3 linked regions of the Caenorhabditis elegans genome follow. The protein of the gene in region 2 interacts with the protein of the main gene of each other region in a pairwise test. Each region holds a gene or a part of one and is shown on either strand. Other genes may lie near its edges.

The links.
Region 1: the proteins of hpo-9 (region 2) and Y7A5A.2 interact in a two-hybrid assay, tested with the Caenorhabditis elegans proteins (one large-scale study listed by BioGRID).
Region 3: the proteins of hpo-9 (region 2) and gly-4 interact in a two-hybrid assay, tested with the Caenorhabditis elegans proteins (one large-scale study listed by BioGRID).

What each region holds. Positions count from the first base shown.
Region 1 is NC_003284.9:15,771,096-15,774,545, forward strand, and holds Y7A5A.2 (uncharacterized protein), read right to left. Parts: upstream 1,641-3,450; 5' UTR 1,635-1,640; coding exon 1,533-1,634; intron 1,481-1,532; coding exon 1,346-1,480; intron 976-1,345; coding exon 865-975; intron 809-864; coding exon 722-808; 3' UTR 613-721; downstream 1-612. Other genes in the region: Y7A5A.1 (Delta(24)-sterol reductase), read right to left, coding at 304-396; Y7A5A.13 (uncharacterized protein), read left to right, coding at 2,763-2,858, 2,989-3,090.
Region 2 is NC_003283.11:7,234,353-7,238,931, forward strand, and holds hpo-9 (BTB/POZ domain-containing protein 9), read right to left. Parts: upstream 2,779-4,579; 5' UTR 2,775-2,778; coding exon 2,660-2,774; intron 2,611-2,659; coding exon 1,825-2,610; intron 1,777-1,824; coding exon 1,479-1,776; intron 1,261-1,478; coding exon 1,148-1,260; intron 1,101-1,147; coding exon 667-1,100; 3' UTR 570-666; downstream 1-569. Other genes in the region: C05C8.5 (Exonuclease domain-containing protein), read right to left, coding at 9-139, 185-322, 374-461; Centriolar and ciliogenesis-associated protein hyls-1, read left to right, coding at 3,206-3,302, 3,358-3,528, 3,579-3,733, 3,927-4,159.
Region 3 is NC_003283.11:19,892,217-19,897,284, forward strand, and holds the start of gly-4 (Polypeptide N-acetylgalactosaminyltransferase 4), read right to left. Parts: upstream 3,135-5,068; 5' UTR 3,003-3,134; intron 452-3,002; 5' UTR 447-451; coding exon 339-446; intron 176-338; coding exon 1-175. UniProt on the Caenorhabditis elegans protein: Catalyzes the initial reaction in O-linked oligosaccharide biosynthesis, the transfer of an N-acetyl-D-galactosamine residue to a serine or threonine residue on the protein receptor.

The sequences.
Region 1 (3,450 bases), on a different chromosome or scaffold from region 2:
CCTCATGGAAGCCCTAGATAAAAATATAGAAAATTTAGAATTTTGTTTTTTCGTTCTTTCCTAATTCTCGTGTACTTGTTCTTTAATGGTATTTCTGAATTTCAGACTATTTTGGGTGTTTTAAAGCTATATTCCCATTCACGCTACTTCATCATTAAAAAATGTTTTTTTTCTACTTGAAAACTTTTTCAATTTTAAATTATAGGTACCACGAAATTTTAATTCAAATTCAAATATTCAAAAACTTCATGTTCTTCCATGTGATTTAACGTATCAATTTTGAAAAAGTTAACAAAAACTCACAAAGCTAGCTGGTAAACAGAACAGCACAATGACTAAACCTCTATTGTCTTCCAACCACCTGATTGCTTTGGCTTTTACCGTTCCAAGCACCATCCCTGAAAAATGCACAGTAAGGAAAAGAAGTTCGGCGAAAGCATAGTCAGTGGCCAGGTATTGACACACAAATGAATAGATAATAAACTAAATGGTCTAATAAGAGACAAGACACGCAGGAAAAGAAAACAGATAAGAGTAGTTGACAACCTGCGACAGAAATCGGTACAAATCACGGAGTTGGTATTGATTGTGTACTTTGAGAGAACTGTTGTAGGATTTGCAAACAATTTATGAGCAAACTAAAGATAAAGTGAGTAAAAATAACAACAAGGTAACAATGAAAATACAGAAAAACAAAAAAGTTTTAACAATTTGCAACGACTCATTCTTTGCGCCGTTTCAGATTTTGATCATTTTCACTTGACAACAGCTTTGGCATTTCACGTTTCAACGCCTTTTTGTGCACTTCCTAAATAGTTTAAAATTGAATTTCATTTAACCAATAGGTTTTATCCCATAACTTACGTTCATTTCTAGAGAATTTAGCATTCTCAGAGAAACGATTGAATTTCCGAATAAGTTTGGTTTTTGGTGTCTTTGGAGGACTTCCGAAAACTGTATTTGTTGCAAAATGTTCTGAAAAAAAACTTTTTTATAAGATTGGAGACAGCATTCAAGGGGGATGTGACTACGAAACTTCTACGAACAACTCTCTCAATTTTATATTGTATTCAATTTTTTAAAGATTTGAATAGAGTTAAATAGAGAATAGTTCTACATAAAGTACTCCACATTTTAATTATTTGTTGTTCAGTGTTTTTGAAAAAAAAATCAAAAATATTACTTAACATATTCTACAGTTATCTTGGCTTTCACTTCTTTTAACTTTGAGTTTTCGTCAACTATCTATTTAATTATAACTTCATGCTAAATTGGAGCCTATCTCACTTTTTCAACTGCTATCAGAGTTGAAAAAGATTTCCCTGCTATCAGATCAGAAACTTACTTCCTTTCTTTCAGCTTCACATTTTTTGAGACATTTTGTTGAGAGATCACTGCTGTATTCGTTAAGAACTTTGAACGGAACATTTTTTGAAACTAAAACCTTTTCAGAATCCAACAAGTCTTGAAAACGGTCGTTCTGAAATTTTCGTGACAATCAAAAAAAACATATGTTGTTAAAGAAATCATACCCAAAATCGTGCTCTATGAATAACAGCCCAGGTCGTTGCGTCTTCAGGAGTGAAAAAGTTGTGTTTTGGAATCTGGTATCTGTCGTTTATTTCTTCTGTCATGGTGTGCTGAAAAATTCATACATAGTAAAAATCGATATCAAAAACCACAAAACAAAAAAAAAACAACAGAATTTTAGACAGGTCTATTTGTACCGCAAAAACCGAAAAGATTGACAAAAAGATAGTGCTTGGAAGAGACGCAGCATGCTGAACAGTTTGTTTGTGTGATGAGTGGTAGTGATTGAATGAGTAGAAAAGAAAGAGAAAGGCAAGGTGCAAAGAGAAAAGGATAAGTTGTACATAGTCAGAGATAATGATAATCAAAAAGAAGAAAATATCGTGTATAATAGAAGAATTGAAATTATATCTTATTCGCTCTTTTTTTAAAGATCATTATGCATAATAGCGCGTTCACTATTAGAAATTTGCCCCAATTAGAGATACACACAAAATAGGAATTCGGAAAATGTATCTCGCACAAATATCTCGCACAAAATGTATTTCAAGGTTACTTCCTAAAGTATGTTTAATATTAAGCCACTCTTTCGAGCTGCAGAGCCAGTATTTTTTCAATCAAAAAAATTATCGAATAGGAAACCGATATCGGTTGAAAAATTCAATATACATACTGTTTTAAAATGAAAAAAAAAACAAAAAAATTCGCAGTCAGCAGGATTCGAACCTACGCGGGCAGAGCCCAATTGATTTCGAGTCAATCTCCTTAACCACTCGGACATGACTGCACAGTGGTACCAATATTTTGTTTACGATCAGGTGAAACGACAAATTTCGGAAGATATAGTTGAGGTTCAGCATACTCCGAATGTTTAATAGCATGCGAAAAATACAAAGGAGAAGCAGTCATGTCCGAGTGGTTAAGGAGATTGACTAGAAATCAATTGGGCTCTGTCCGCGTAGGTTCGAATCCTGCTGACTGCGTATAAATTTTGCTCTCAAATCTAGGTGTTTAATTACTTATAGTTGTGATAATAAATTCTTTTCTTTGTTCTCAATCTTTTACAAAAACTAACACCTACGTAAAATTTTAATTGGATTACAATTATTAAACTCTCGGACCGCGCAACAAACGGAAATCCGGAGAAATCTGAGTACAAGTACAAGTATAAGAATGATGCAATTTAGATTTTAATTCCATATTCGATTCAACCCGCTCTTTTCCAAAAGAAAATGCATTTTCGAGTCGTAGTTGACCGTAGTCAAACAATTGCCTATCGTCGAAGACAAACCAGCTGGGATTCTATTAGACTATGGGCAGTTCAATTGGTAAGTCAAGTTAAAAAAAATATAAATAATGTATAGAAAATTATTTGAATAGCTCAAATTTCTATTAAAACTTTGAAGCTTAGTTTTAACTTTAGAGAAAATTGGCAATATGCCATATATTGAAATTCAGCACGAAGACGGTTGTCTGTGGCGTTTTGCAGCTGTGGTTCTGGTCATGGTCATCCTCCTCGCCATTTTCTTTGTTCCCCTTATGTTCAATAAATTGGTCTGATCATTTTTTGTATCTAATAAAGGTTTCATGAAAATAGCGAGGTCTTGCAAAATGTGAATCAGAAAGCGAATATAAGCTATTTTTATGAAGAAGCACTCACAACGTCAACAAAAGATTACCCCTCCAAAAATGAACTACAATTCGAAATATCGTTTCCTTCGTCAGTAAAGTCCTCCTCCCCAAAATAAGGCATTTTCATCTTGACCGAGTCATGGCACCAGTATCCCCTCTTCATAATGTCGAAATAGTTCCAACTGTGTCTGCAAGTGTGGCTCCAAGACCAATGCGTTTGTTCCTTCAGAGACAAAAGCTCGGAAAGGCCATATGTTGCTGTTGTTCTAAACGAACGGTAAGAAGAAT
Region 2 (4,579 bases):
TCCCTTACGAAAAAATCGTCATCCACATTGACACGAACCACTAGGTTCTGAAGGACATTTCTATGATGGGATAGACTGACCCATCTGGGCTTTTGGAGTGATGATCCAAATATGCTGAAGTGAATAAACTGAGCCAGAGCTGGAAAACTATGCGAAAATTGTGGATTTTAAAGTGGATTATTACTTTCGCAGTCTAATCGATGGCCATCACCTAGTCGGGACAGCCTTAACTCTAATTTTGGCTTGGATGGATCATCACTACTTGTACTAGGAGACTTGGTTGGTTTTTCAGAGCTTGTTAATCGACGTCTTTTTGTTGCACCTGAAATTAATTTCTTTTCCTGGAATTTATTTTTTTATTTATTCCCCTTACATTGAAATTCATGTTCTGCTTGTTCTGGTGATTTGAATAGGTTTTCTATCTCTGATTTGAGACTTTTCCTCAGTTCTCGCTTCGCCATCCCTCTCAAAAATCTGAAAAAAACGGTTAGAATTTCAAGAATAAAGAAAATAAAAAAATAAATTTATTTTCGGTGTGTGGCGTCCGTGTATGTGGTTTTTTTTCAAAAGAAATTATTAACATTTTTATTCAATAAATTTAATAACTTATTTTTCATCAGACATTTAAGTGAAATAATGCATTATATATATTTCTGTAACCCGGTTTTATTTTATGGCAATTGGAACGTTTGAGGGAGCCTCGAGATGTACAACGTGAAAGACTTCGTTTATGGAATTCCGGGTACCAACAAGTCGAATATACACAACTGGAAGAGGATCAAATATGAGTTCTTGCCATCCATGACATTCTTCATTGGTGCGGTCGACAATCGTAACCCATTCGTCTTGATTCTTCGATACGGCAACATAATACGAGTAGAATCGATCATCACAATTCCATAACAAAATTCGCATTGAAGATATAATGTAGGGCTGAGCAAGTTGAATCATGATGAGACCACTTCCAATTTGATGACACGTGTATCCAGTATCCCAGTCGTAGGATGAGGAATCCCCGTTGATAAGAGCATTCCGACATCGAGAAACTCCTTCAACAACCCGTGCGTGATTTTCTATCGTTGTGATGTTTCGATGAGGAACTGAGAAAATTGAAATTATATTACATTTCCACAGCAAAATGTGATACCTATGACTTTGTGCACAGGTTCGACAGGCATTGTTTCGGTAGAGAACATGGCTTCGATTCGACTTCCTTCCAGTTTACACGACATTGAATTGTTGACTCGGATCAAAATATGCCTGAAATGCAAATTATGGTGAATAATTTTCGAGTTTCACGGGTTTTCTGTAGAAAATTACTATAGGCGCTGTAGTTTTTTTTCGAAAGTTTTAAATGTTTCGGAAAATGAATAAAAAATAGATCAATTAAACTTCGCCCGTTAGTTCCAAAACCGCCGAAATGTTTTTGAATTTCTACTATTAATGCAATGGATTTTACAATAAAATCAATCACTTACCGCACAACAGAATCTGTGAAGAAGAGTCTTTGTGTTCCTCGACAATCATATTCCGAGTAATCAGCAACTAGATTCCAATGAGCATCAACTCGATTATCCATACTAACGTGAACTTGGTATGTAAATGCTTGAACTTCATTTTTCCAGTTAAAATCCATCATAATTGTATTGATAATGAATGGTTTTCCGAGATCAATTTGAAATACACTAATATTCTCGTCATTAGTGTAGCGACTGCTGAGCTCTCGTGACAATGGCTGTGCGTGTGGATAGTGTGGAATTATATTCGTGTCGAGGCCTATAAAATGGAATAGATTAAACAGAAAATAAATAAAATTCAACTCACTTTTGCATCCTCTGAATGGAATCTCGTGTGGTCTTTGTGTTTGAACTTCTATAGCATCCAGAAGAGTATCAGCTGACACCAACCCAGTTGGTCTTACACAATTAAGAAGTTCGGTTTGTGTTATAAGGGGAAGTCTGACCAATTCCAGCAAAACTTTTGATGCTTCTTTCATTGTTGGATTATTCTGATGCCATGAACGTACCGCATTGAAGATCTTCAATTCTAATGCAAAAAATGAATCTCTCGCAAGAAGCTCCTTCAGACTATCTCCTGATAATCGGTTGAAGCTGGGATCTTCGAGAAGCTGATCTGCATGTTTATCAGAATATTGCATGCAATAATCTATAAGATCAGTGAATTGAAAGAAGTATGCAGCATTGAAAATACTACACAAGTTCTCATTCTTCAAAATTTCCTTGAAATATTCGCTTATTGCTGTCATAAGCTGAATTAAATCATAACGATGTGCCAGACTGAGATATTCTAGCAAAATATCCAGTTCCACTCCGGCAAAATCGATTTTCGATGTGTACATGTACCGAAGAACAGCTCGGAAGGCTACTGAATTCGTTTCCTGAAGAGTCACAAGCTGTTGATGGCTTTCTTGAAAACCTGTATAGAGCATAGCTCGAAAAAAGCTACTTCTCACAGCCAAGATCAAACGATGGGCAGCAAATTCAGTTCCATCGTCGAGAACAAGAGTTACATCGGAGTGGTCTGTTGAAGTGAAAATCTCATCGAAACTTTGTGAAAGCTCATCAAGATGTTGTACAACAGATTTGTTAACTGAAATAATAGCTAATTTTGGTCAATTTTTCTGCTTTTAGAGACTTACCGCTATTCACCGCATTAAAATTATTGGAAATGGCGGCGGATTCTGTTCTCATAGTTTCGACAATTCCTCGTCCATCTTCTTGAATCGGCCGCCCAAAAGCATGGTTATCGCTCATGTACCTGAAAACCCGTCATTATCATTAATTATTGAATTTTAATAAAAAAGTTATTTTAAATTTAATTTTTCGGGATAAAATTAGAAAATTCGGAAAAGTTTTTAACAAGGAGAATGATGGGCGGAGTCATGTTTGGCAATCTGGGCGCACTGTTTTGCAATGGCACCGCGCGCGCTATTTTTTTAAGATTTGAACCTGGCGCGCTTTCTGGCGTTCAATAGAGCACGTTTGCTTTTTTGTTTTTTATTTGTTTTTTTTTTGCACGAACAATATTGTTTGTTGTTACAGAAAAACCCCACCATCTTGTGACTGATCAGATCATTGTGACAATCTCAAAAATATTTTCAAAACGTTACGGGTAGTTTAACGTGTACGTCATTTCCTCCTTGTTCATAAAACACGCTTCATCGAGCATTTGGCTTCAAGGAAAAATGGCAAATTTTACCACTGAAAACGAGCTCGAAGATATTCTTCATCAAATGGGTCACCATATACATGACAAAAACCAATTTGCAACTTTCAAGAATGGTTAGTTTTTTTTCCTAAAATATTTAAATCCAATATAAAAGATCGTATTCTTCAGAAATTGATAATCTACTCGACCGAGAGCTTTGTCTGTCAGATGCCGATGAAGACGTTATGAATGAATCTCTATTTGCTTCATTATCAGTTGATCCAGCCGCTCAATTCATACGACAAGAACGAAATTTTCCAACCGAAAATCTGAATATTCAGTCCCCAATTGTTTCTAGAAGTGAGTTAAGTTTTAAGATTTTCTTCAATTAATCTGTGATTTTTTTTCAGAAAGACAAGGAAAACGGTTTATCTACGAAAATGTAGAGTTACAAAGCGATTTCGACGATGAAAGCTCAAACGAGTATCCTGAGAGAAACCTTCTGGTCGATCGAGCGTGGCGAAGCATACATCGTGCAATGGAAACATGCAATGGTGCCACAGAGGTTTTGACTTTTTCGTTTTTTTTTTTGTTGAAAAATGCTGACTTCCATTCAAGATTTTTTCCATAGATTAAGCTGGAAAATGTTCAAAAAGTCTAAAAATAATAAAATTGAATCCTGTGAGCCAACCGAACGTCAAGATTCAGATGTTTGTGCATTTTATTTTATAAAAAATAAGTTTTAAATATTTTTTCAGACTCTTAAATCAATATCACTGGATGGCAGCGACATACAAGAACGATCAAGTGTGGATGATGAGGAAAATATCGCTGAATCAGTTTCCGTGGGGTTAAGCACTGAAACTGAACAATCAGAGCTTCAAAAATCTTCACGACCGGAAAAAGAAGTTTGGACTCGGAATGTGTTGTCACTTGAACCAGGAAGAGCACCAAAAAAATATGATCCGGTCACAAGATATCATTTCTACAAGTAATTCATTTTATTCAGTTTGAGAGTGTCGTGACTGTGTAGTAGCGATGGAAGAACGTTTTATTTATAATTTTGATTTAGAAAAAATTAAAATACTTTAAAAAGTATTGGCATTATTGAAAAAATCAAAGTATCAAAAATGCCAATTTTTGAAAAGAAAGAAAATATTGGAAAAAAAAAGTTTTCGAAATAATTAAAATATTTCCAACAATATAGACTGAATGAAATAGAATAAAAATCAAATATTTTGATAAAATCGTATTTCCAAAAAAAAAAAGATTAAAAAGTTTTTTTTTACATTTTCAAAAATATGCCAATTTTTAAAAAATCTAAAAAAAGTAAAAAAAAATTAAAATTTGGAAAAAAAACAAAAATATGTTTTAAAAAATGGATAAATTTGTGGAAAATTCAAATCTTTAA
Region 3 (5,068 bases), about 13 Mb from region 2:
ATGTCTTCCAAGTGACATCTTTTTCGGTTCTCTCATGAATTGTGGTATCTTCTGCCAAATTTATCGTTGGAATGGGCGGCGCGCTCTTTTTCGGCCGAATTTCGTCGTTTTGCGGCGGGTTTTGGGGTATTAAAGGGTCGAGCTGTGGTAGTGGTGGTGGATGACGTCCCGGTGGCTGGAAATGATGGGAATTGTAGTTTTTAGTCATATTTGGAGTGTTTTAGTGGAATTTTGAAATTTTGAAAAAAAAAATTTTTTTGAAAATTTTCTAAAAAATTTTTTTTTTCGAAATTTTTTTCACAAAAATTTCAATTTTTTCAAATTTTTAAGAAACTCACCCTTAAGCTTGAGCTCGTAGATTGCACATAAATGAATGCCAATCCAAACAGCCAAATGACTGCCAAAACGGTGCCCACCGTCTTCATTTTCAGCATTCTCGGCAGCATTTTGGCTGAAAAATTGCGAAATTTTTGGTGGAAAACTGAAATTTTTCGAAAAATTAAGTCAAAATTCGAATTCCCCGTGCAAAACTACTCCTAGCCATCAATTTGCAGAGGTTTACTGCAATTTTCCGTCAAATCTGGTGTTTTGGTTTACTGTAGCGTGGTGTTTGCGGACTTGGCACTTGATTTGACGGAATTTTGAAAAGAGATTTTTTGGAAATTTTCAAATTTTATATATTTCAGGTGGAAATTTTTGATTTAAAACTACGAAATTCGAATTCCCCGTCCCAAATTACCGCTATCCCCTATTTTTCAGCGATTTAGTGCAAAATTCCGTCAAATCAGGTGTCAAGTCCGCAAACACCGGGCTACAGTAACCCAAAACACCAGAATTTACGCAATTTTGCACTAATTTGCTGAAAAATGGGGTAAATTTACACGGGGAATTCGAATTTGAACTCAATTTCGATAGAATTTCAAGTTTGGGCCAAAATTTTGGGCTCAAAATCTGTAAATTTCAGAAAATTTTCAATTTTCTCACTTTTAGTTCAAAATATTCGATTTAATATTCCAAAAATCGAATTCTCCGTGCAAAATAACCCCTATCCCGCAATTGTCAGCGTTCTAGTGCAATTTCCCGTCAAATCCGGTGCCCTGGGTTACTGTAGCCTGGTGTTTGCGGACTTGGCACCTGATTTGACGGAATTCTGCGCTAAAATTCTGAAAACTTGTGGCTAGCGGTGAAAAATGACGAGAAATCCGAATTTCTGAGTAAAAAATCGAGAATTTTTGCAGAAAAATGTGAATTCAGAAATTTTTTTTTTTTCAAAAAATTCCGAAAACTTTTTTTTTCAAATTTCTAAAAAACCTTGATTTTCCACATAGTTTCCTCCACTTTTTCTTTCAGAAAGTAGAAAAAAAAATAAAAATCCCAGTAAAACTGCCTAATTACCTAATTACCTAGCGGAATCGCGGAGCATCGTACTAGAGAGGTAATTTTTGGAGTTTTTAGGGTCAAAATGGGATAATCTCGAATTTTTCAAACTTTTTTTTTTTTGGAAATACACTTAAAATTGGGGGTTTTACACAAAAAAGCAAAAAAAAAAAATTTTTTTTTTTGAAAATTTTTTTTTAGCTAAATTTTTTTTTCTAAAAAAAAAGTGAAAAAAGCTGTCATAGTCAGAAAAACGTAACGAATTCGAATTAATCATCCGCATCACTTGCACAATGACACAGAAAAAGGAGCATTCAAGCAATATAATAGAATCGGAAAATTGGAGGAAAAAGACACGCAGGCGGTGAAAAAATAGGAAATTTGATATTTTTTTTCCTTCGACTGCTGCCTGCCTCGCGTCCCATCGTTTTCTTCGTTTTTGGCGTGTGAAATTTATATTTTCGATCGAATTAGGAGCCCCATGCACACACATACGCACAATGCTAGAATCTAAAAGGTTTTTGAAAAAAAAATAAATATTTTTTCCAAAAAAAAAAATTTTTTTTTTTAAATTTTTTCGCGTTTTCATTCAAAATTTTTGATTCTACGTCTCAAATTACCCCGTACTCTCAATTTTTAAAGCTTTAGTGCAATTTTGCGTCAAATCTGGTGTCTTGGGTTACTGTAGCCTGGTGTTTGCGGACTTGGCGCCTGATTTGACGGAATATTGCACTAAACCTGCAAAAAGCGGGGGATAGGGGTAAATTTACACGCGTAATTCGAAATTTTCATGTTTAGGACATGATTTTGAACTAGAAATGTTAGATTTTGGGAAAAATTTCAAAATTTCAATATTTCAGGTGGAAATGTTCGATTTAAAACTACGAATTTCGAATTCACCGTCTCAAATTACCCCGAACCCCAATTTTTATGATTTTAGTGCAATTTTTCGTCAAATCAGGCGTCAGGTACGCAATAGCCAGGCTACAGTAACCCAGGGCACCAGATTTGACGGAAAAATGCACTAAAAAGCTAAAAATGCGGGATAGAGGTAATTTTGCACTGGGAATTTTGATAAATTTGAGTTTTGGCCAAGATTTTTTGGTTGGGGCTCAAAAAAGTCAAAAATGCTTGAATTTCTACAATTTTGAATGAGAATTTTAGCTCTAAAACTTATAAATTCGTTTCAATTACTCCAAGTGATTTTTTGCTTAAAATTTATGTAGTTTGTGGTCTTTGTAGTGCGCAAAAACCGATTTTTCCTATTTTCTAGATGAATTTTCGAAACTTTTACAGTTTCATACCTAACATTTCGCTTTAAAACTATGAAATTCGAATTCTCCGTGTCAAATTACAGACAAAACCCAATTTTCAGACCTTTTGTGCAATTTCCCGTCAAATCTGGTGTTTTGGGTTACTGTAGTCTGGTGTTTGCGGACTTGACACCTGATTTGACGGAATTTTGCACTAAATCGCTGAAAATCGCGGCGTCGGGGTTATTTGGTACGGAGAATTCGAAAATTATAAAAAAATTTTGCAAAAAAAATTATGAGAGAAAATTTTTGGATTTTTTTTTTGAACTTTCCCAAAAAAAAAAAAAATTTTTTTTAATTTTCGAAACTTACCAATTTTTTTTAATGAATGCTTTCTTCTGTGTCTTTATCCAATAATTAAACCAAAAAGAAATGTGTGAAAAGTTGAAAATTTCCCGCACAAGAAGCTCAGTTTCTCGTCCCGGCGGTGGACATGAGTGAGTACTGCAATAGGTGGTGGTGTTATTAATTATGTAAATGGGCATTTTAGTGCGAAAAAATAGGGGAAAAATGGTGTTCGTATAGTGAAATGAAAATGCTCATAAATTTTTGATTTGGGGGAGAATATAAAAAATAAAAAATAAAAAATTTCTTGAAATTTTTTTTTCAAAAATTGTAATTTTTTTAATTTTCCCAAAAAAAATACCCTGAAAACTGAAAAATAGTACAAAAGCGTGTTAGAAAAAAGAAAGATAGACAGGTTGGTTAAAAACCCAAAGGATAGGACAGGTAAAAACCAAGGAAGAAAAAAATTTGGGGAAAAAATTGGATGTATTTAAAAAAAACGGATTTATCAGAAAAAATGTATCAGAGAAAACAACAAAAAATCAATAATGTATATAACAATTTGAAAAAAAAAAACTAAAATTGAGAAAAAAATCGAGAAAAATTTTTTTTCAAAAAAATATATATTTTACATACTAACACTAATATAATATTACATTAAAGTTTTCAAGAAAATTTTAAAAAAAATCGATTTTTTCCAGAAATTCTTAATACTACTAACGCTAATATCAACAACATTAATAAAATTAAAAAATGTTTTTTTCAAAAAATTCAGAAAAAAAAAGTTTTTCATATTTCTAGTACTAATACTCATTAGTTAACGCTAATAACAAATTCGATTAACAAATAATAGTTTTTCAAAAAAAAACGATATTTTTTCCAAAAATGATTAATGCTACTAACGTTAGTATAACATTAAATTAATAATGACGTTTTTTTCAAAAAACTCGAAAAAATTTTCTTATTAATACTACATACTTTAGATAGAGATTAGATAGAGACGAAATTAATTTCAAACAAAAACTTTCCAGAAAATTTATATTAATGAAATCGGAAAAAAAATTTGGAAAAATCCTTACTTACTACATATTAACGCTAATATTATATTGAGACAAACATATTTTTAAAAAAATAATTTTTCAGAAATTTTTAATAATACTAATTACTAACGCTAATATAACTAATATAACACTCACAATTAGATAAATAAAAGATTTTCAAAAAAAAAATGGAATTTTTCCAAAAAAATGATTAATGTTACTAACGCTAATATAACATTAGACTAATAAAGACATATTTTCAAAAAAAAAAATTTTTTTGTTTTTTTTTAGAATATTGTAATACTACTAACGCTAATATTATATAGAGACAAAAATATTTTCAAAAAAAAAAATTTTCTGAAAATTTTAATACTAACTAACGCTAATATGTATAACACTCACAAGTAGATAAATAAACGATTTTTGAAAAAATTATGGAATTTTTTCAAATAAAAAAAATTAATATTACTAACGCTAATATATAACTAATATAGACGTATTTTCAAAAAATTCTCAAAAAAAAATTTCCAAGTAATCATTAATACTACATACTAACGCTAATATTAGATAGAGACGAAATTAATTTCAAAAAAAATGTTCAGAAAATTTGTCATACTAGCAATGTAACGCTAATTTATATTAAATTTATATTACTGAAATCGGAAATTTTTCAAAAATTCCATACTAATTCTAATATAACATTGCTATATAGGATATATTCTCAAAAAAAAAGAATGGAATTTTTCCAAAAAAGTGATTAATGTTACTAACGCTAATATAACATTAGACTAATAAAGACATATTTTCAAAAAAAAAATTTTTTGTTTTTTTTTTTAGAATATTGTAATACTACTAACGCTAATATTAATTATGAACACTGAAGCGGAAGTTTAAAAAAAAAAATTAAAAGAAACTTCTCGTGATAATTATATAAATTGTTCTGGCAATTCTCAATACTTGAAAAAATTGAATTTTATCGATTTTTTGGAAAACTTGTTGAGTTAAAAATGAAAATTTGGGCATAGCTTCCGCATCTCCGGTGGCAAATGCGCT